4 linked regions of the Drosophila melanogaster genome follow. The protein of the gene in region 1 purifies or fractionates together with the protein of each later gene. This does not show direct contact. Each region holds a gene or a part of one and is shown in the gene's direction. Other genes may lie near its edges.

Region 1 (5,501 bases):
ACCTTCTTGTACGATCCCGACCAGATGGAGTATTTCAAGAAGCAAGTGAAGAAGATGAAGAAGGTCAAGAAAGCGGAGATGGCTACCAGGAATGCGGAGATGGCTGCCAAGAAAGCGGAGATGGCTGCCAAGAAATTGAAGAAGTCTGCCTGAGTTCACGCTAGACCTTTGCTTCCAATGTCTACCTGACTGCAAATATACTTCAATTAAGTAAATCAAATCAAAATCTTTAAATAATTAGGCGCGCAAAATTATTTGAAATTAGGGCCCCTGCATATCGATAATTTCGCCGATTGTGTGTGCGTGTTAATGCTACTTCAGCTACTCAAGCTGAAGGAGGCCACTGTAACGCACAGGGATGGTTAAGATTTCTCGATTAAAATAGGGCTGAGTAAATCAAATGTTCTGTTACAAAGTGTTTTTAAAGCGATATGCTTTTCTAATGAAAGGGTACCAACACATCGATAGCTCTTCGATAAAAACGTCAACTGACATCGCCTGTCAACTGTCATACCTGATTGCGTACATTACAAAATATATTCGATCCAGCTAAAACGAAAGCTACAATGAAAAAAATAATTAATACATCAAAGCCAAAGCGCAAGTCCACTTCCATGAAAGTGGAGGAGACTAAGCTAGACGAGGCGCGCTGGGGTAAGCCGCAGACAAAGGAAGGTGAGTCTGCAAATGGGATAGCAAATCCCTCAAATGACGATAAAAAGGAGCTGGCCAATTTCAAAGCCACCTTCAATTCCTGGGCCCCCGAGAAGAAACGCGAGAAGATGCACAAGGTAGGCGTCATCTTAATATCCAACATACCCAAGGACATGGACGGGGACTGCCTGAAGGAAATCATGAACTTGCACAGCGTCGTCGGCAGAGTTTACGTGCAGCCGGAAACGCTGTCAAGTGAGTGGACCAAGTGGCATGCACAAATGACCCACTGATTACCCAGTATAAACTTTTATCTCAATTACTTTAGGTTTCAAGACAAAGAAGAACATGCGTAAGGGCTGGGTGGAGTTCATTTCGAAAAGTGGGGCCAAAAAAATCGCTCTAGAGCTGAACAATAAGCCTATAACCGATGGCAAGTCGTCCCGATTCCGTGGCTTGCTGTGGAAAATGAAGTTCCTGCCACGCTTCAAGTGGTACTATCTAACCGATCGCATGGACTACGAGCTGGCGGTTTGCAAAGTTCGCGTATGGTCGCAGGCCCGCAAGCGGGCCACCTTCTGGTACGATCCCGACCAGATGGAGTATTTCAAGAAGCAAGTGAAGAAGATGAAGAAGATGAAGAAGGTCAAGGAAGCGGAGATGGCTACCAGGAATGCGGAGATGGCTGCCAAGAAAGCGGAGATGGCTGCCAAGAAATTGAAGAAGTCTGCCTGAGTTCACGCTAGACCTTTGCTTCCAATGTCTACCTGACTGCAAATATACTTCAATAAAGTAAATCAAATCAAAATCTTTTAATATTTAGGCGCGCAAAATTATTTGAAATAAGCGCCCCTGCATTGCATATCGATAACTGCAAAACTTTCGAGTGCTGGTTTGTGTCAACACTATTTTTGGTATTTAAGTTCATGCAGGCGTTAGCACCTTTCCGTTGTCGGTATTTCTACCCGATAGCCGCGCGTTATCGATAACAGCCATCGACTGTCTCCATTTTCTTTGTCGCTTTGTTGCGCCCGTGTGGTATTTGAAAATTCTGTGATCACAAATCGACTAATTACGCAGAGAAAATGGTAAATTTAAAAGTAACAACTATATTATTCGAGTAGTTTACGGTGCGGGCTATTGGCGTTGCGTGAATTCGCCCACTTTTCATTGATAATTGTGGCCAATTCGGCGTTTTCATTTGCCGGGTGTGTGTGTGAACGAAGCGCAAGCCATTTTGACAGGCGGCTTGCACGTGAGCCATGGACTCCGATTTCGCCTGCCACTTCCAGAACCTTCTCCTGCTGTCCACGGGATCTGGGTGAATTGGAGCTATCACTAGATTGCTGGCCGGGATCGGCTCGGGCAGCTGGCTGAGAACCTTCGAGATGCATTCCACGCCGTTTTTGCTGCCGATGAATCACTCGGCGCCGCTCTCCCTCGTCCGCCACTTTTTGGGGTTAGGTCGAGGCGATATGGCTGCACAGAGCGAAAAACCATAACAATCTGACATAGAATACATATACATTTTGAATATTTTCGCATCACAAACGCATCTGGTTTGCAGTGACTGCGGATTTGGCCATGCCAACAGACAATCCTCGCCAGAAATTGCAACATATTGGGCAGCCGCCTGCCATTGTCAAGATAGCATTCTTGATCTGTCGATGAGAATATCATAATGGTGTTTTGCAATGTCATCTTGGCATCATATCACTTTTTCATTATGCTAAATTATTAAATGTTAAAAAAAAAATTTTATTTCGCAAAAAAAGCTATAATATAATTTCCTGCATGAATAGTAATTATGAATTAGCTTTACTTGCTTCTGATGATTAATCCTCCATAAGATCTACGCTAAAAAAAAGTCATGCCATTTTTGTAATTAAATTAAGTCTCAAGAAATGTGCCCTTCTTAGAAAATTTATACAATCAATCGAAATGATTCACACCAATTGATCGCGTTTTGTCTTGCAGGAGATGTCCTTGAATCCCGTGCGCGTGCTCAAGAATGAGGCGCAGGAGGAGAAGGCCGAGATGGCCCGTCTGTCCTCGTTCATTGGTGCCATCGCCATTGGTGATCTGGTAAAGAGCACGCTGGGTCCGAAGGGTATGGACAAGATCCTGGTGGCCACCGGACGCAACGCCGGTCATGTTGAGGTGACCAACGATGGTGCCACCATTCTGCGTGCCGTCGGTGTAGACAATCCGGCCGCCAAGATTCTGGTCGATATGTCGCGTGTGCAGGACGAGGAAGTGGGCGATGGCACCACCTCGGTCACCGTTCTGGCATCGGAACTGCTGCGCGAGGCGGAGAAACTAGTCGAACAGAAGCTGCACCCACAGATCATCGTCTCTGGCTGGCGTCAGGCCACCCAGGTGGCACTGGAGGCGCTCACCGCCGCCGCTCAGGACAACTCGTCCAGTGACGAGAAGTTCCGCAACGACCTGCTGAACATTGCCCGCACCACGCTCTCCTCGAAGATCCTGCACCAGCACAAAGACTTCTTCGCCAATCTGGCGGTGGATGCTGTGATGCGTCTGAAGGGCTCCGGCGAGCTCAAGTCCATACAGATCATCAAGAAATCGGGCGGCACACTGGGAGACTCGTTCCTGGACGAGGGCTTCCTGCTGGACAAGAAGCCCGGCGTGCACCAGCCACAGCGTGTAAGTAATGTTTCCAGTTCCATCGTGCTAAACATCGTCTACCTCTGCTGTCTATTAACGCGTCAAAATGACTGTGAGCTATGTGGATTTGACTTCATATCACAGCCATTTTGACGAGTTTGTTGGACAGCCAGCCTCATCAACGTGGAAATGTTGCGCGTGCAAGTGAGTCTTTCAAGACCAAGTAAAAGAATCTCATGATCTCATACATGGGTGCTCTTCTCCATCGCAGATTGAGAATGCCAGAATCCTGATTGCCAACACGCCCATGGACACCGATAAGATTAAGGTGTTCGGCAGCAGCATCAAGGTCGATTCGCTGGCCAAGATCGCCGACCTGGAGATGGCCGAGAAGGAGAAGATGAAGGAAAAGGTGGACAAGATCCTGAAGCACAAGTGCAACGTGTTCATCAACCGGCAATTGATCTACAACTATCCGGAGCAGCTGTTTGCCGATGCCCGTGTAATGTCCATCGAGCATGCCGATTTCGATGGCATCGAGCGTCTGGCGTATTGCACCGGCGGCGAGATTGTCTCCACCTTTGAGAATCCCTCGCTGGTGAAGCTTGGCGAATGCGATGTCATCGAACAGGTGATGATCGGCGAGGATACGCTGTTGCGTTTTAGCGGCGTTAAGCTGGGCGAGGCCTGCACCATCGTGATCCGCGGTGCTACCCAACAGATTCTGGACGAGGCTGATCGTTCCCTGCACGACGCCCTCTGCGTGCTGGCGGCCACCGTCAAGGAGTCGCGCATCATTTTCGGTGGCGGCTGCTCCGAGGCTCTAATGGCCACCGCCGTGCTGAAGAAGGCAGCCGAGACACCCGGCAAGGAGGCCATCGCTATCGAGGCCTTTGCCCGTAAGTCGCTGAAATCCACATCATATGCTGGAGATGGCTCCTAATGAAATGCTTTTATTATTCGTATTACAGGCGCTCTGCTGTCCCTGCCCACGGCCATTGCCGACAATGCTGGCTACGATTCAGCCCAACTGGTTTCGGAGCTGCGTGCCGGCCACGCCCAGGGCAAACAGACTCTGGGTCTGGACATGGAGCTGGGCAAGGTGGCCGATGTCCGTGAACTGGGCATCACCGAGTCGTTCGCCGTTAAGCGCCAAGTTCTGATGTCCGCCTCGGAGGCTGCCGAGATGATCTTGCGCGTGGACAACATCATCCGTTGCGCTCCACGCCGACGCGTTCCCGACAGGGGCTACTGCTAGGCGCTTAAGTATTCTTGTTCTAGGATCATATTTTTTTTAATTATGAACTCTCGTTTAACATCATCGCTAACCTTACACGTTCTGTTTACTACACTAATAATCCACACACAACACATTAGCAATTATATCACACGTCCCACTCTCAAAGTCGCACAATTTCTCGCTAAATTTGTCCCTGTCGTGTAATCCTTCTACTTAATTGTGAAACAAATTGATATGATGTTGCAAGCTGAGCTTTTGATTCGAGGATGAGTGCTGCGATCAAACCAAAACATTTCAAAAATGTCTAAAACTCCATCAAACCGACAACTAAACGAACTTGTAAATGAATACAATTGTTGTAAACATTTGATGTGCGCAAATTGAAGACCATTAAACAGAAAAAAAAAAGGAATAAATGATAAATCATATATTTATGCTTAACAAAACTAAACAAACTGCCTTCTTATTTGGACCACAATTATTTCCCGAATTTTTATGAGCTTTTTTTAAACATAACTTGGCTTAAAATGATCATAAAGCGAAAAGAGTAACATTTCTGAGCACTGGAGAACCAATGTTTTCGACCCACGCCACTTTTCAGCCGATTTGGGAAAATTAATTTTTTGGTCAAATTTCTCATTTTTTGTAAGGGGTAACATCATCAAAATTTACAAAAAATGGCCAAAAAATATAATTGCCATTTTTTAGCTCAGTTCGTTTGGAAATTTAATTACGAGCTCAACGAAGTATGACATTCCATATTCAGACAATTATTTTTAATTTTGTGGCAAAAAAACTGATTATTTGATGGCCGAAATTCGGAAAAACGGATTTTGCCAAAATGTTGATATTTTCAAACGGAATTTTCCTCATAACTTGGCTAAAAATGATCGTAAAAATGAAAGAATAACTGTTTTGAGCAGCTAGTTACCAATGCTAACGACCAATGTCACATTTTGAAGGATTTAGGAAAATTAAT
Region 2 (5,094 bases), on another chromosome or scaffold:
AAAACTCCAGACAAAAAGACATCACGAAATTGTTTTTCTGTATACTACAAGTGTATACGAATATGTTCTTAAATCGTTGTTTCCAAAATTAAAAATGTATGTATATATTGATGGTCAATTACCTGTATTTCGAGTAAAAGTTCCTGCTTCTTGCGTCGCAGCTCAATCAGCAGTTTTTGCTGCTCCGGTGTAAGTTCTGCAAGAACGAGATGCGAATCAATAATAAATTCATATACTTGTTTCTGGGCATTTTGTAAATTGTATCGCAACACCAACAGTAAAAATAAAAAACACCAGAGCAGCATTCCAGGCACACGCGCCCAACACACATACACACGTGCATACACGAGCTGTTTGCGATGCGATGAAAGCATCTTGTAGGCTACGTCACTAGCTTAGGCCGATAAACAATTTTCACTTGTCGAAACCACAATGGATTGCTAATTGTGCAAATTGGCTTATTAGCGTTACCAAAGCTCTTCGGACTTAATTCTGACGAAGGCCAAAAACGAGAACGCAATGTACATATGTACATAATATACATACATATGTGCACTAACATTTCACCTAGCACACAAGTCTATACATACAAATGTTGCTTGTTGCTTCTCTTATTTTGTAGTTGTGGGTATCCCAATTTGTGATCTTAATAAAATTTTATCAATACAAAGATTCGTATTCTGTTCATGCTAGGCTATATCCTTCGGGCCAGCAAAAGTATCTGCTGTTTACCTGGCATTGAGAATTCACTGCGCCCCTTTGATATGGCACCGTACGATCTGTTGTCGAAATTGTCCATTGCGCTAATCATCGCGGAGCTACTGAGCTACTACACACACTCTCGCGCACACGACACACACTCTAGTTGTACATTTTTCACCAGCAGTTGGCTAATTTTTAAGGCTTTTCATTGAACAATCAAAGACGAACGGATAATAAACAAATCAACACCAAAAAAATTCTATCGCCATTTTCTTTCAGCTCTCCACTAGGGATGTGCTGAATTCAGCTATCGGTTGAGTAAACAACTGAAAAATAACAAGTGCATGCTGACTTAAGCTGGGTGTTACGCGAGCTCTGTGTGGCCACTTTTAAAATATCCTGATGCCACTGCATCTTGTAACCAAACGTAAGAACTTTTTAATCAGTAGAACTAAAAAAATTAGGGCTAATTATTTACTTGCAACAATACATTAAATATTTTTAGGGGTACACTTTTTCAGAGATTAGAGCAGACCTTATCTATTTCAAGACAAATAGCTTGAAAAGCTGTAAAACAACTTTGTTACATCCATTATGGTGTGATTTGCGGGAATCGGCTATTACCATTTCGAAAATTGTTTGTTACAAGTTAAAAACATAAACTTAAAGTTTTGGACGTACATAAAAATATAACATTAAAACAACCTTGTTATAAAAAAATACAATACCACCAATACTTACTGTCCATTTTAAATCTGTTAAAAAATTCACTGAACGAATACGTCTTTCGTCATAACTCCATTTAAAATATCGTCAGGAAATTTACACATCATTTCGTTTTTTTAACGGCACAAACACCTCGGACTTGGTGGCAACGCTGCCAACATATGTGTGCACTGGCATCGATAATTTTTACATCCCTATTTTGAACCGCAGAATTCTAGAAAATTCCACTCGCTGGCCATAGTAATTGTCCGAATTAGTTTAAGCTAAGACTGCCGGATCAAAAGTAAACCAACATCTTCCATCTTTTCATAAAATTGAAGACAGTTTCATACAATTCTACAGTAAGAAAGCGATGGCCAAGTGGGGAGAAGGAGATCCGCGCTGGATTGTGGAGGAGCGGCCCGACGCCACCAACGTGAACAACTGGCACTGGACGGAAAAGAACGCCACGCCATGGTCCAAGGACCGCCTGCATCAGCTTTTTCAGGATTTCAAAATAGGCGAGTATATAAGAATTTGTAGTAGTGTAGAACATACATTTTAGGTATATCCTAACCTAAAAGTAAACTTCTCAAAACGCAGGGCAAAGCGACATTGAGTGTGCCGTGGACTCCGTGGACAAATGCTCCGGGGAGGCCACCGTGAACAATCGCAAGGGCAAGCTCATATTTTTCTACGAGTGGGAGCTGGTGCTCAAGTGGTCTGGAAAGCTCCTAAAGAACAGCAAGCTGATCCACAAGGGCAAGTTAACCATTCCCAATCTCTCCGAGGAGAACGAACTAGCCGACGTAGAGATCACGGTGACAATCGACGAGTCCAACGACGAGTCGGAGACCCTGAAACAGTTCATGTACAACGTGGGACGAGACCGCGTGCGGCAGCAACTGGCTTCCTACATCCGAGAGTTGAAGGAGGAGTACTCCAAGAACCTTATCCTACCAAAGAAGGGCGACGAGGCCGGAGCGGGAAATACTGTGGCGAATTTTAAGGATGCCAACAATACCCGTAATGCAGCCCAAAATATCGCTTTAAACTCCTCGGTGGCGGCTCCTAGGCTGAAGAACTCTGGCATCGGCTGTAAACTGGACGTTCGCACTCTCTCGATGACCGAAGAATTTCACTGCAGCGCCAATGACCTTTACAACGCTCTCACAAAGCCAGAAATGGTCACTGCCTTTACGAGGGCACCTGCCAAAGTAGATGCCGTGCGCGGTGGAGAGTAAGTTTTTGTCCCTGGTCGTTTTATTTTACCATCACATCAGGACCGTTTGTGTCGTCATTTAGTAATCTTGTTATGAATAACCATAAATTTCGCCCCTCGCCCTTGTCTTCACTTCTTTATGGTAAGTAATCTTTTGTCTTTTATTGTAGATTTATTCTTTACGGAGGCAATGTGCTCGGAAAATTCGAAGAGCTCGTCCCTGAAAAAAAAATACAGCAGAGCTGGCGTCTGAAAAACTGGACATCTGGTCACTACTCAAACGTTGTCATAGAGCTGGAAGAAACTGTAAGTTACTAGGACAACGAAAACTAGATATATTATTATTTATTTTTTTAAATTGACCCGCTTAGTGATCCTGATTAACAATATACGATATAATTTTCAAAGAATGTAGTACTCCTTATCAGTCAATAAATAACGCGTATAAGACCATATTCCTACGGGCCTCTAAATTCGAAATATTTACAAAATTTTATGTGCACAAAGAAAATAGTAATATGAAAAAAAAATAACTTTGTGATTTGTCTATTTATTATTTATTGGTTAAGAAAAAAATTAAATTCGTTACAATACGTCGGATTTAAACTTATGAATGTAATGATTTTGGTTTAGTACATTTTTGAAATTTACATTCAGGTTAAATTCCTATTAATACCTAATTACATTATATGATGGAAACCAGCAAATTTGGTTAAAAACGATGTAAAAGCTCGAATCTAATCTAAAAATAAATTCCTGAAGTAAGGGTTCTGCGAAATAGGATGAAACGGATAAAAAACTCTGTATGCCCGTAGAGAAATATGGTCTAGTAGATTCGTTGAAGAATATTTAACAGGATGAAGTGAACTTTTCCGACGCTATATGTATTATTGATCAGTATCAGTAGCCAAATCTATCTAGCCTTGTCTGTCCTTATGAATTTTGAAAAAAGTTTTGAATTTTTTTCGTGTTATTATTTGCCGTTCCAATTTCTATCGAACGTCAAATATATATAATTAGGAAATGTACTTTATTTACCTCTTACTAGTAAATTTAATGGACGATGTTCGTTTGTCAGCCGTCTTTTCGGAGGCAATGCAGCATATTCATCTTTACCTATCTCATTTTTAAAATATATTATTAATACTCCCAGAGTGACGACCACACAATTTGTACTTAATTTATTTCTTTATAGTCGGGGAACTCTATTATAGCGTTCTTCCTTGTTTAATTTTAAGTTTTGCGATCCTTCCTTAAGCTTAATTTTCCTGACTTGACTATAACCAATAAGGATTTTTTTGTATGCCTGTTTTTTTTTTTTTAATTTGTAAGCGTTACTCGCTATACATTCGGAGAATGATGCTTTCAGTGCTATCCCAAAATAATATTTACCTCAAATATAACGCTTCCTCCTTGCAGTCATCCAGCACAATGATGTCGCTCAAGCAGACCGGGATACCCGCGTCCGAATTTGATGCGATGAAGACAAACTGGTACCGATATTACTGGCATAGCATCAAACAGACCTTTGGATTCGGTACCTCAATATCTGATGCCTTATAAGAGGACGCTTCTAGTGCGGATTGCACTGAATGATTGAGGGCTTGGTGTATGGCGGATTATCGAAGGATTATTATTTGTATTCAACCTAGAGTACTGCGAGAATTTCATTTCCAATCATAACTGTAATTTCTGTTTATCCTTAGAGGCTTTTTCAAATCCTCTTAGGTATATCGATCGAACTGGAAAGTCCGCGGCTCGCTAAAAAAACACATTACTTACAAAAAATCGAATACAATTCAGGCATTCGACATTGATTTCACACATTGAGAAACAATAAACAATAATTTAAAACAAAATGTTTATAATTTTGAATTGAATATTAATAATAAATTTGTTATATTATTAAGGACATAAAAAGCTTTAAAAGCCTGAAATTTAAAAAGTTATATTTTTATGATTTCCGATTTTCATACCATTTCTTACTCCGAAGGGGAAAGCATGGGCTAGGTGGCACTGAGTATAAAAGGAGGAATTTTGCTCCACATAATGAAACAGTTTTCCATTCCATTTTATCAGGTTCACTTGCCAAGCCGATTTCTTTATGTTTGTCTGTCTGTCCGTATGAACGCCGCCAAAATCTTTAAGTGAGTGTTTCCGATCGTGAATGTATTCGTAATCAGTATCAACAGCCGAATCAATATAGCCATGTCCATTATAGTCATATATATCTGGAATATAATTATAGTTCCCAAGATCCCGACGATCATACGAACGGACACAAAAAAAGACTAACGGAAAAAGCCATAGCATCTCTGTTTATACCTGTTACTCGTTGAGCTAAAGAGTATAATTGATTATTTAAAAAGTATGTATCAAGAAGAAGGTATCCGACAATATGAAGTATATATATCAATATATGTATATGTGTGTACCAGTATCAATAGTCGTTCGCAAATAGTTTA
Region 3 (7,127 bases), on another chromosome or scaffold:
AGTTGCGATTTTTGATTACAGTAAATGTTTGACTGATGAAATGCAGATAAGAATTTTGCCTCCTCCTATTTCGCATTGTTGTGCAAACCTCGCTGTTTAAAGAGATGTTACTAAAGGATGTTACTAAAAGGCATTCCGACAGAAATCAAAATAAAACATATCTTCTACTGAGCATATAAGCCTATGTCTGAACAATAACATACTTATATTGAATATGAGCGGTTGATATTTTTTTAGCAGTATCAAGCTTTCTTGACTTACGGCAATAATTTCGCTTTCTATCACTGTGATGGTGGGAATTCTTAGGAGTCATGCTGGATTGCAGCTTTTCAATTTGTAGAGAATCGTTTTGTTATTCCTCTTGGGATGCGATGCTATATAAGCATTTTGGCAGGCTTCCCAGCTCAGTTGTCATTTTAGGCAAGCAGTTAATAAAATTAACTATGAGTATTGCGCAGAATGCGCAATCCATTCAGCTTGTGAGGGCATCTTCTAGTCAGGCACAGATTTTGGCCAATGTGAGTTGAAATACTATCACCACAATCGGGTATTCCACTAACATACATATGTGATCTGGATATTAAGGTAGCCGATAGTGTAGTCACTGAAGCGAGATCCTATAAGAACATTCCACTTCCCAGAAAACAGGAATTTGCAAGGGCATTTATGCCGGGTGGAGAATTTCACGATGCCTCAATTTTGGATTATGCAGCAGCGATGAGAAGTTGTTATGGTGATATCTTCATAATGCCTGGAATGTTTGGTCGCAAGGATTGAGTCACCACATTTAGTACAAAGAATATCGAGACTGTTTTCCGCAGTGAGGGAACTTGGCCGGAAAAGGATTTCTTTCCCTCGATCACATATTTCCATTTATGGAGAAAGTGTGGGTCTGATATTCGCGTAAGTTACCAAATAATTACATATGTATATCAAAAGCGGAAGTTAATTTGGAAACTATAATTTAAGGCAAGCAGCGTTGTGGGGCAAGATGCGATCAGCCGTCAATTCAATTTTTATGCAACCCAAAGGATTGAAAACTTATTATGAGTTCAACAACTAGTTCATTGAGCGCTAAGAATTAATTCATACTTGTATATTTCGATGTCCACCTGAGTTTTACTTTTTCTCCAACATTAAAGAAATTCGAGATGCTAGAACTCTGGAGATGCCGCCTGGTTTTCGAATCCCTTGGCTTGGTGGCTTTCGATCGCCCAATGGGTTTGATCAGTCGAAATCGAGACGATCCAGATGCATTGACTGTGTTCCAAAACACGAAGCACGATGTTCAGATATGCCTTTCAATTGAATATACAGCCATCAATGTGGAGATTTATCTCCACTCCAAACTTTCGGATGATGATGCGTCTTCTCGATGACATCTTAATGTTCTCACAGAAAATGATAAAGGACACCGAGGACTCTGTGGAAAAGCGGCGCCAGTAAATAAATAAAATAAAAAATAAATAAAATATCAGTATGCAAAGAGAACAAGGATCAACTCTAAGAATTGTTTTTATTTTTCTTTAATTTGGTTATTTATCTTGAAATTGTCTACCGTTGAACTAGAATCCTTATAAATTTTTAAAAAATATTTAAATATTTTAGATTTTTTTCTAGCGATCCCACTAAATGAGTAACGGGTATGTAATAGTCGTAATAGTAGTATCAAATTCTCTGAGGTGTATTTATTGTAAGTTCCAACGCTCTCAATTTGTTTTTCTAGCCAGTCACGTTCATTTGTTTATTTTTTCAGTTGAGTGAGGTAGGCAATTCACGGCGATTATACCGTTCAGCTGATAAGAAAATGAAACTCATGCTTTGTTTGCTGGCTTTTGTTTTTGTTTGAGATTTTTGCATTTTGAAGCATTTCAAGTTATTCGCTCTCCTCTCTTTTCTACGTTTTAGAGATAAGCCTTTGGTATAAGAACGTTCTCGAAAGTGGAACTGTTTTTAGTTGCAGTTGATCACCAAAAGGAATAGAATGAATACATTGAGCAGTGCGCGATCTGTGGCGATTTACGTGGGTCCCGTTCGATCTTCAAGATCAGCCTCCGTTTTGGCACATGAACAAGCTAAATCTAGTGTTAGTATGCACAAAATCCAGTCGAAATAGATTTATCATGTTATTAGTTTCCAATTATAGATAACGGAGGAGCACAAGACCTACGATGAGATTCCGCGGCCCAACAAATTCAAATTTATGAGGGCTTTCATGCCCGGTGGTGAATTCCAAAATGCATCGATTACGGAATACACCAGTGCCATGCGAAAGCGCTATGGAGATATCTATGTAATGCCCGGAATGTTTGGCCGCAAGGATTGGGTCACCACTTTCAACACAAAGGACATTGAGATGGTATTCCGCAACGAGGGTATCTGGCCACGTCGTGATGGCCTGGATTCCATTGTATATTTCCGCGAACACGTTCGACCAGATGTTTACGGTGAGGTTCAAGGATTGGTGGCTTCGTGAGTATAAAATCTAATAAGTAGCAAGGAAACAATTGAATTTGAATATTTCAGACAAAATGAGGCATGGGGAAAACTACGATCAGCCATTAATCCCATCTTTATGCAACCCAGGGGCTTGAGAATGTATTATGAACCATTGTCTAATATCAATAATGAGTTTATAGAGCGGTAAGAAATTTTTGTTATTGAATTGTTATTTATATATAGCAATAAATTCCATTTTACTGTGCAGCATTAAGGAAATCCGCGATCCAAAAACTCTAGAAGTCCCCGAAGATTTTACGGATGAAATAAGCCGGCTTGTTTTCGAGTCACTCGGCCTGGTGGCTTTCGATCGGCAAATGGGTCTGATTAGAAAAAACCGCGATAATTCCGATGCATTGACCCTCTTCCAGACCTCGAGGGATATTTTCCGTCTCACATTTAAGCTAGACATTCAGCCCTCCATGTGGAAGATCATATCGACGCCCACCTACAGGAAAATGAAGCGAACTCTCAATGACAGTTTGAATGTGGCCCAGAAAATGCTGAAGGAAAATCAGGATGCACTGGAAAAGCGCCGCCAGGCTGGCGAAAAAATAAATAGTAACAGTATGCTGGAGAGATTAATGGAGATCGATCCCAAGGTGGCGGTGATTATGAGTCTGGACATCCTATTCGCTGGTGTGGATGCCACAGCCACGCTTCTGTCGGCTGTTTTACTCTGCCTCTCAAAGCATCCGGATAAGCAGGCCAAACTGCGGGAGGAGCTCTTGAGCATCATGCCCACAAAGGATTCCCTACTCAACGAGGAGAACATGAAGGATATGCCATATTTGAGGGCTGTGATCAAGGAGACACTGCGATACTATCCCAATGGCTTGGGAACCATGAGAACCTGCCAAAATGATGTGATACTTTCGGGTTACCGGGTGCCCAAGGGAACGACTGTCCTGCTCGGCTCAAATGTGCTGATGAAGGAAGCTACATATTATCCACGACCAGATGAATTTCTGCCGGAGCGCTGGTTAAGGGATCCGGAGACCGGAAAGAAGATGCAGGTCAGCCCCTTCACGTTCCTTCCCTTTGGCTTTGGACCCCGCATGTGCATTGGCAAACGGGTGGTGGATCTGGAAATGGAGACCACAGTGGCCAAGTTGATTCGCAATTTCCATGTGGAGTTCAATCGGGATGCCAGCCGTCCATTCAAGACCATGTTCGTCATGGAACCGGCCATTACGTTCCCCTTCAAATTCACGGATATCGAACAATAATTTGCTTCTCATTTGTGGCCTTTACTTGTGTTCCTTATAGTTGCGATTTTTGATTACAGTAAATGTTTGACTGATGAAATGCAGATAAGAATTTTGCCTCCTCCTATTTCGCATTGTTGTGCAAACCTCGCTGTTTTGATAAGCAAAATGTTTAATACGTTTGATAAGATTGCGCTTTGTTGTGGCATCCCTATCGCTTTTTTTCGTATCAATTTGTTTTTTTCAACACAATTGCGAGGTGTGCTTTTCTTATATTTTTAGGTAACAAAGAAGAGACTATTGTAGGTTGTTATTTTTCTTGTTTTTCCCCCACACTTTGTATATTTAGGTGGTGGGTAGCGCTCACCAAAGACACTTTCAGCTGGAGCTTGCAGCTTGGCAGGCAGGTGAGAACGGGCTGCCGAGAGGATGTCCTTTGCCGCGCCACAAATACTTCTAACGGCAACAGCAAAATCAGGAGCAGCACCCAACATCAGGAGAGTAGCAAAGCGGCAAAAGCAGCAACAACAGACATATTCGCCTGCGGCCTGCGGAGTTATGCTAACTGGCACTCAAAGCAAAGCGCGGCCAAAAGCTCAGGTGGTTTGCCCTGTGCCACCTGCCACCTGCCACCTGCCCCCCTGGTCTTGTTCTTGTTTTTGCTGTTGCTGTGCCTGCCACTTGGCACTGGCAGCTTGTAACAATAATTTAAGCGATTTTGCGCTTTTTGCGAGTGGGTTAATGGCATGCTCAGGATCTAGGAAACGGGAAGTGGGAACTGTGAGCTGGGAGCCTGCAAGCGGGTATCCTTTGGCGTGGCGAAAATTCCACTTTTGTAGCAAACGCACATAGCTTATGAATTCCGCAATCCCCGATGCGGTGCAGCAGCAAAATGGTAGGGATGATGGACCGTGGGTCCTGGTCCAGTACAAAGTAAAAATGCAGAACATGTGTTTTTTCGGGGTGGCTGGATAACCTGGCTTATAGCAGCCATGGCCAGGGATCAGCTATATACATATACATATGGTCATGTACATCTCTTTGTGTCTGCTGTATATTAAAATTCAATTTTAAAACCGGCCACGCACAACCGGGCGTATGCGTAATGCGGCATGCAATCATTTGCGTGCGCCTTCGCTTGGAAATTCCTTTGCCATAACTAATCTCGAAGGCCAACCAAGACTAAGGCCAACCTAAGACTAAGGACCAGTCCTGACGTTTCATATTTCTAGCTCACCGCCCTGCCACCCAAGCTCAACCCGTTCCTTTGCCGCTCGTCTTTTATTTTATTTAATCTTTTTTCTTTTTTTTTTTTTGTGAAAAATTTCATACTCATCAAGTTGACAAAGAAAAAGTTTTTCATTATTACATTTCGCTGTCATTTGGGCGCAGAAATAGCTTGGAAAAGTTCTCGGAGTCCCGCTTTTCCTTCGCCGGCTGCCGGTTGAAACTCGAGTGCAGCGCGTAAATGAGTCACTCCCATTTTGAGTCGCCCGCCCGCAGCAGTCGGCGCTCATCATCAGATTTCCAAAAGGATAATGGTTTGGGTTGTGCTGGGCTGGGTTGGATTTGGTTAGGTTGTGGGGTGGTGGGGGGCAGTGGGAAAGGCACGGGCCCATTGCGTAGCTTGACGTAATTTTCTTGGCCTGCCTGACGAGTCGCATCCTTGCACATTAATCCATTGGTGTGCCTGGATCTCGGTAGTCGGAACCCCGGAACCCGGAACCCAGAGCTCGGATCTTGGTCCTTGCTGCACGCAAATGAGGGTATGGTCAAATCACTCACTGTCAGCCCGTGTCCCAAGGAATGCGTTCAGCATGTCCTTTAATTTTTTCTCCCTCTAAGACCAGTTTCATTCCCCTTTTCTGCACTTTGACAAAAAGCTGAGTCCTTAGCTTGCATAAGCAAAATGAATGAACCTATTTTTAAGTCATATACTTTTGAAAAGATACAAAATGGCCTTTGTTTAATTGAATAAATTTTTTTTGAAACTTTGAATGACATTATATATTTTTATTTAGTTGTTTTAAGCAATAATAAATTTGCACAAATTATTATTTAAATATGTTTGAATAGTTTAAAAACTTAATGATTTTTCAGTTTTTTCTTATTAGTAGGTCTTTAAATTTCTTTTGAGTCTCCTCAACATCATTCCATTGATTAGCAATTCGGATGACACTTTTCTTATTGTGCAGGCACTAGCATTTTCTATAACTTGACGTTTGCCCGCCTTGTCGTTGCCCGTCCATTTTCCATTTCCCATTTTCCGTTCGGCCAGCCCATCCCCACTCCCCCTGGCTTCTTTGTCCGGCTTGTACTTGTGTTGCCTCGCTTGCCGCTTTGCTGCCTGTCAGCGCGCAGCTTAAGATAAAAACTTTCCTTTCCACCCAAAAAAGGGGCCAAGGCGGCAACACCGGCCAGAAAAGGCTGAAAAAAAAGCAGGCAGAATGGCCTGCGAAAGGGTTGACTCTGACATTTAGCTTTCGCATATTTGCACACACCCCGCGTCCCCATCCACCGACAGTATATTTTATAGACTAAGGCGAAGACATGACAAATGCTCAAATAGAAATTCTTCAACAAGATTCTTGGCCGAAACTTAAGTTCATTTTTTGGTCGTGCACATCGCATGGGGGCTTTTGTAAGGGCCTCACCAGAAAGAATTCAAATTAAAATGCGATTGCTCTGGGGCTCACTCGATTTTCGTGTGTTTTCTGACACGGCCTGTCGATGGTTTTTGCATTTGTCTGCAAGGCTGAATTTAATACAGGACACTCTGCGCTTTCCGAATCACGAATTGGCTTCAAATTCAATCGATTGGTGGGGCATTCAAATATTAACAAAAATAGAAAAAAGGGTGTGCTTTTTGTAACAATTTGAAAATACTTTTATTTACTTAGGTAATTTAAGTAAATAAAACAATATACTAAAAGTGTGTAAGGCAGTTTCTGTTTTAGTGAATATATTACCTATAACTACATTTTATAAACCTGTGACAAAATCTACGTTATCCATTTAATGGCTATTAAATACTCCAAAACATTTTCCGCATCGATTTCCTTTAATATTCAAAATCATTTTCCGCTTTCACAGGAATAATATCAAACATATGACCGTGCAGCTGACGCTCAGATGTTTTCCCGCTTTCCACGCGGCCACTCGAACTTTTCATTCATCAGGCGCAGCGCACACGCATTGCCGAATTTGCACCAACACCAGTGCATCGGGGTCACCCAATTTCCACCCAAAACAGCCACCCACTCAGCCGAAGCAGTCGAATAACCCAGACACCCGCACAACTCACTCACCCATTCATATATTTTATGTTTTGTTTACATTGCCGGCTTGTGCAGCCCAAACAACAACTGATTCTATGGAAAAAGCGTTGGGAAAGCCTTGTGACGTCACCGGGAATGTGCG
Region 4 (5,867 bases), on another chromosome or scaffold:
CGAGGTGGGCATTTGCATACGCTTAAGTGGCGGACTTGTGCACTTGGTTGGCCCTACCGAATTTTCAGAAGAACGATGAGAACGCTCCGCCGATAAGAGCTAGTCCAATTACTATGGCTAATCTTATCGCGGAAGCATAAACCAATGGAACGTGCTACGATAAGCGTTCAGAGCGGCTATATGTGGCTATACCACCCAGAGCTCTTAATGAGAAACGCAACTCTTGGTTGCACTCGAGACGTGGGCAATTACATCACGATTATGCCAAAGCAGCGGCGGCACACACAAAATTCCGATTGATAGTGAGGTTAGGTCGTGTTATGTTCATGCCGCTGCTCCTCCGATTACCAGGCGGCCATGCAGTCTCTCTCACCTTGACGGAGTCCAGCGGATACATGACCACATGCTCCAGCACGCCCGCAATTGCGCCCGCCGTCATATTGACACCCACACTGGTGGTGGGCAGCGATTCGTAGTCGTCGATGTTCATGGTGGATCCGAACGGTTGCCGTCGCTTTCGATTGTTGAGGCTGCTGGTGGGGCTGCACTATCGACTGTGTTGTGTGCTAATGCTGTGGTTGCGCCCTTGCAGTCGCTGCTCCTCTTACGACAACCTGCTAATCCGGACCAGTTCTGCCAAGTCGCTGTTGCAGTTGCTGCTGCAGAGCCGCTTTCTCCGCTGGGATCGGGTCGCTCCGCCTGTCGAGGATCGGCGTTGGTTAGCGGGCAACTCTTGGCCGGCGTATGTCGGGCACTTTTGGTGCAATTTTGTTGTATAACACGGATAACACGACGATTCACGGACGCACGGGCGGGTGTATTTCGGGGGGTGGTGCTGCTGGCGGAGGCGGCGGCGGTGGCGGTGGTGGTGCAGAGTGTACGCGTGAGGTGGTCTTATGCGAAACTGCTAATTGACACTGCTGTTGCACGACTAGCATACAGACGACATAGAGACGATTCCCCGATTCAACGATTCACGCGAGGAAGCAATTTCTGGTTTAGTTGCTCGCGGCTAAGCTGCTGCTGCTGGAGTGGCGGCTGCGGATCGGTTGTTTTATGAATATATAAGAGTCGGTTTGTGGCCGAAGCGGAATTTTGGCTGGGTCGGTGTTTGGCAACTGACGCAAATGTTGTATGATTACAGCGAATCATTAAATTTCGCCCAATAAACAAGCCTCGTGCCCAGAGTGACCGCAGCGGGAACGTCGCAAAATACCAAAATGGCTCGGGTGAAAATACCAGCACAAGTCCACCCACATGTGGGTGCGGAACCTTAACGCCATGGCAAATAAAAATACCAACATTAAAATATTTAACTTAACATTGTAAAATAAACCGAACGGTACAAAATCATATGTTATATATTCTAAAACGAAATGGATTTCCTTGATCTCTGTCAGGAATTTATATTTTATTTCAATTCATATTTTTATCATTACTTTGCTATATCAATAAGTTCTCAGTTATCTATTTTGGCAGCTTAAAAATTGTATATACACGAAGTTGTTGTGCAACCGACCGAAGAATTTATTATTTTAAAGCTTAGTTGTTGTATACATGAAAAGATACTAATTTGTTTCAAATATAAATCATATATCTACCGGCCTAAGTGTTCCCTTTTGTAAACTATTGATATAAGAATGTAAATTATCAAATTAAATATATTTAACAGTAGAGTTTTGACACTACATCCTCTTGTAAACTAAATCCCAAATAGATTCTATGAATGTATGGGCTTTCAAATAAGCAAACATTAAATTTATTTAAATTACACTATTTTCGTGCTCTGTGCTGTATATATATCCTATTTCCAGTGCAGCCCCTGGTATTTCCTTCCAATGCGCTTAGAATGTTCCAGCGCCGGAATACGGTCACTCTGCGAGGCATTTAAAGGCCTTCCAGCCGCTTGTCGGCGTCAGTAAAAAAAAATCAAAGCAGGCGACGCAAGTGCGGACTAATTTATTGCATCTGTTATTCGTGACGTGGCCTTTCGCCGGACGAACCGATAGCTCGAGCTCCGTAAATCAAGCTACCAAAGATCATGAAGTACTTTTTGCTGGTGGGCCTGCTGCTCCTAGCAGGTAAGTGTGCACATTTGCCACGCCGCATTGAACCGGTGTTTTAACCTAATTATTAATTGGCGTCTGATTCGCGTCTGATTAGGCATCAATCAAATAGCCGCCGATGACGAGGCCGCCACAACGGAGACCATCGACCTTGATCTGGGCTCCTTCAAGGAGGGCTCCCGCACCGGTACGTAGACACGCCCCCCTCTCGCGACGACGAGTTTTGTTTGGTACACGTCAGCGTTGCGATAACCGCCCCCTTTTTCTAATTCCCAATCCCCCAGATGCCGAGACCCTGAAGCGCGAGGAGGAGGCCATCCAGCTGGACGGCCTGAACGTGGCGCAGCTGAAGGAAATTCGCGAGAAGGTGGGTTCATTGCCAGGTCATTTGGAAGGTACACGTATGACCGGGATTTCCTTTCCCTTTTTTCTTTGTCTTTTGTCTGTGCGTGCAGGCGAAGAAGTTTACTTTCCAAACGGAGGTCAACCGCATGATGAAGCTGATTATCAACTCGCTTTACCGCAACAAGGAGATCTTCCTGCGTGAATTGATATCCAACGCCTCCGATGCCATCGACAAGATCCGCCTATTGGCTCTGTCCAACAGCAAGGAGCTGGAAACGAATCCGGAGCTGCACATCCGCATTAAGGCCGACAAGGAGAACAAGGCGTTGCACATCATGGACTCGGGTATCGGCATGACTCACCAGGATCTGATCAATAACCTGGGTACAATTGCCAAGTCCGGCACTGCCGATTTTCTGGCCAAGATGCAGGATCCCAGCAAGTCGGAGGGACTCGATATGAACGACATGATTGGACAGTTCGGTGTGGGCTTTTACTCCGCTTTCTTGGTCGCCGATCGTGTAGTGGTGACCACCAAGCACAACGACGACAAACAGTACATCTGGGAGTCGGATGCCAACAGCTTCAGCATCACCGAGGATCCCCGTGGCGATACTCTGAAGCGAGGATCCGTGATCTCGCTGTATCTGAAGGAAGAAGCCCAGGACTTCCTGGAGGAGGACACCGTGCGCGAGCTCATCCGCAAGTACTCGCAGTTCATCAACTTCCCCATCCGCATGTGGTCCAGCAAGACCGTCGAGGAGGAGGTGCCCGTGGAGGAGGAGGCCAAGCCCGAGAAGAGCGAGGATGACGTGGAGGATGAGGACGCCAAGGTCGAGGAGGCCGAAGATGAGAAGCCCAAGACCAAAAAGGTTTCGAAGACCACCTGGGACTGGACCCTGATCAACGACAGCAAGCCCATCTGGACGCGCAAGCCCGCCGAAGTGACCGAGGATGAGTACACTAGCTTCTACAAGAGCCTGACCAAGGACTCCAGCGAGCCCCTGACCCAGACGCACTTCATCGCCGAGGGCGAGGTGACCTTCAAGAGTTTGCTCTACGTGCCCAAGGTGCAGCCATCGGAGTCCTTCAACCGCTACGGCACCAAGTCCGACAACATTAAGCTGTACGTGCGCCGTGTTTTCATCACCGACGAGTTCAACGACATGATGCCCAACTACCTGAGCTTCATTCGTGGCGTCGTCGACTCCGACGATCTGCCCCTGAACGTTTCCCGCGAAACTCTGCAGCAGCACAAGCTCATCAAGGTGATCAAGAAGAAGCTGGTCCGCAAGGTTCTCGATATGCTGAAGAAGATCGACAAGGAGGCGTATGAGAAGTTCTGGAAGGAGTTCTCCACCAAGTAAGTGTCGCTTTCTAGGAATTAAGAAACGTTCTTTGCCTGTTCAAATAATTAGTTATTTATGATAAGCATTTCCGCAGAATCCATTATAATATGGAGAATAGAATGACGTGTATTATTTTTTGCCAACAAATTAATATATTTAGTTTGTTGCTTTAAAGAATTCCGCGCTGATAAGATAAGGAAATCCACGTAGTATTATAATATTGGCACTGGTGACGTGTAGAGTTTATACTTAAATATTTTATTTTAGTTAAATAAGCATTTCCATTAGCTATAACCTCGAATTCTTGGATTTTCGTTGCTTATCAAGACTTAATTGACTCATTTCAGCATCAAATTGGGCGTGATGGAGGATCCCAGCAACCGATCGCGTCTCGCCAAGCTGCTCCGCTTCCAGACCTCCAACGGCAAGGGCGTCACCTCGCTGGCGGAGTACAAGGAGCGCATGAAGGCCAAGCAGGAGCACATCTACTACATCGCTGGTGCCAACCGCGCTGAGGTCGAGAAGTCGCCGTTCGTCGAGCGTCTGCTGAGCAAGGGATACGAGGTGCTGTATCTGGTGGAGGCCGTCGACGAGTACTGCATCTCCGCGCTGCCCGAGTTCGATGGCAAGAAGTTCCAGAACGTGGCCAAGGAGGGATTCCAGCTGAACGAGTCCGAGAAGAGCAAGAAGAACTTCGAGTCGCTAAAGAGCACCTTCGAGCCGCTGGTCAAGTGGCTGAACGATGTGGCACTCAAGGATCAGATCTCCAAGGCCCAGGTTTCCGAGCGTCTGAGCAACTCGCCATGCGCCCTCGTGGCCGGCGTCTTCGGCTGGACCGGCAACATGGAGCGTCTGGCCATGTCCAACGCCCACCAGAAGTCCGACGATCCTCAGCGCACCTACTACCTCAACCAGAAGAAAACGCTCGAGATCAATCCCAGGCATCCGCTGATGCGCGAGCTGCTGCGCCGCGTGGAGGCCGACGAGGCCGATGACACCGCCAAGGACATGGCTGTGATGATGTTCCGCACCGCCACCCTGCGGTCTGGATACATGCTCCAGGAGACTTCGCAGTTCGCCGACAGTATTGAGCAGATGATGCGCCAGACCTTGGGTGTCTCCCAAGACGAGCAGGTGGAGTTCGACGAGGAGGAGGAGGATGATGCCGAGGAGACCGCCACCGGCAGCCAGGAGAGCGGCAACGCCGATGATGAGGAGGAGGAGCAGCAGCACGACGAGCTGTAAACTACTTCACCTCACCCACTGTCCAAATAGATTGTACATAAGAGTGTGAAGTTCAGACTGAGTTTTAAACCGCCACCGGGTGGCCGGGCGGGCACTCCATCAACATTACACGCTAGATTCTAAGTAAAATAATTTCGTAGTCCTTCGCCCACGCCGTCATCACCGCCAGTCGCCCAGAGAGCACTCCACCATTTCAGCCAGCACACTTGGTTGCTCAAGCGTTTTCTTTTTTCGAAAGCAAGTGAATTATGTATTTATACAATGTAATATGCTTAGTACACAACAGATTCCAATCAAAACAAATAAAGACAAATGAATTTAAAACTAAAACAACTGCCTATTTAATATGGCGCGCAATGTAAAATTTCCGCAATCGGATACCAAAAAATAGTTAAAAAGTGAATTGATTGCTCGATCAGTCAAGATCGGAACTCAGCGGCTCATCGTTCAGGGCCCTCAAGTAGGTGTTGTACTTCATCTGGTCGCGGATCTGCTGCACGGCCTCCGATTGGGACAGCGTGTATGTGTCCATAAAGAGGCGCACTATCCACAGCGGGAGCAGTCCGTTCACCAGCAGCGACGTGTGGTTCTGGTAATCGGGACATGTTAGGATGGATATGTGTGTCACTCCAGGACGCCCCAAACTTACGCTTCGACTGCTGTAGACCTCGCCCAGTTTCTTGAGCATCTGCTGGTGAATGCTCTTGCTCAGTATGTCGATGACGTCCATGTGGGCAATGTTCATGTAGTGACTGGTGCGCGGCTTGAACTCGCGCTCCTTGAACAGCTTATCGAAGTCGCTGCGATAGTTTTCGAACGTATTCAGCACCTCGTCCTCGCCCATTTTTTCCAAGAGTCTGAG

The links.
Region 2: the proteins of CCT2 (region 1) and CG1416 purify together in Drosophila melanogaster (affinity purification with mass spectrometry, with the first as the bait; one large-scale study listed by BioGRID). This does not show direct contact.
Region 3: the proteins of CCT2 (region 1) and Cyp12d1-p purify together in Drosophila melanogaster (affinity purification with mass spectrometry, with the first as the bait; one large-scale study listed by BioGRID). This does not show direct contact.
Region 4: the proteins of CCT2 (region 1) and Gp93 purify together in Drosophila melanogaster (affinity purification with mass spectrometry, with the first as the bait; one large-scale study listed by BioGRID). This does not show direct contact.

The regions. Positions count from the first base shown.
Region 1 is NC_004354.4:9,087,857-9,093,357, forward strand, and holds CCT2 (chaperonin containing TCP1 subunit 2), read left to right. Parts: upstream 1-1,656; 5' UTR 1,657-1,739; coding exon 1,740-1,742; intron 1,743-2,631; coding exon 2,632-3,321; intron 3,322-3,373; exon of another isoform or gene 3,374-3,443; intron 3,444-3,553; coding exon 3,554-4,181; intron 4,182-4,253; coding exon 4,254-4,540; 3' UTR 4,541-4,970; downstream 4,971-5,501. Other genes in the region: CG32706 (uncharacterized protein), read left to right, coding at 1-153; CG6999 (uncharacterized protein), read left to right, coding at 615-909, 983-1,389.
Region 2 is NT_033779.5:21,756,432-21,761,525, forward strand, and holds CG1416 (uncharacterized protein), read left to right. Parts: upstream 1-1,578; 5' UTR 1,579-1,780; coding exon 1,781-1,928; intron 1,929-2,010; coding exon 2,011-2,647; intron 2,648-2,799; coding exon 2,800-2,935; intron 2,936-4,048; coding exon 4,049-4,192; 3' UTR 4,193-4,569; downstream 4,570-5,094.
Region 3 is NT_033778.4:11,116,706-11,123,832, reverse strand, and holds Cyp12d1-p (cytochrome P450 12d1 proximal), read left to right. Parts: upstream 1-1,948; 5' UTR 1,949-1,984; coding exon 1,985-2,086; intron 2,087-2,146; coding exon 2,147-2,472; intron 2,473-2,526; coding exon 2,527-2,643; intron 2,644-2,707; coding exon 2,708-3,728; 3' UTR 3,729-6,608; downstream 6,609-7,127.
Region 4 is NT_033777.3:27,946,821-27,952,687, forward strand, and holds Gp93 (glycoprotein 93), read left to right. Parts: upstream 1-1,890; 5' UTR 1,891-2,041; coding exon 2,042-2,081; intron 2,082-2,163; coding exon 2,164-2,253; intron 2,254-2,350; coding exon 2,351-2,433; intron 2,434-2,521; coding exon 2,522-3,774; intron 3,775-4,107; coding exon 4,108-5,005; 3' UTR 5,006-5,331; downstream 5,332-5,867. Other genes in the region: mfrn (mitoferrin), read right to left, coding at 374-490; CG4951 (uncharacterized protein), read right to left, coding at 5,421-5,594, 5,655-5,862.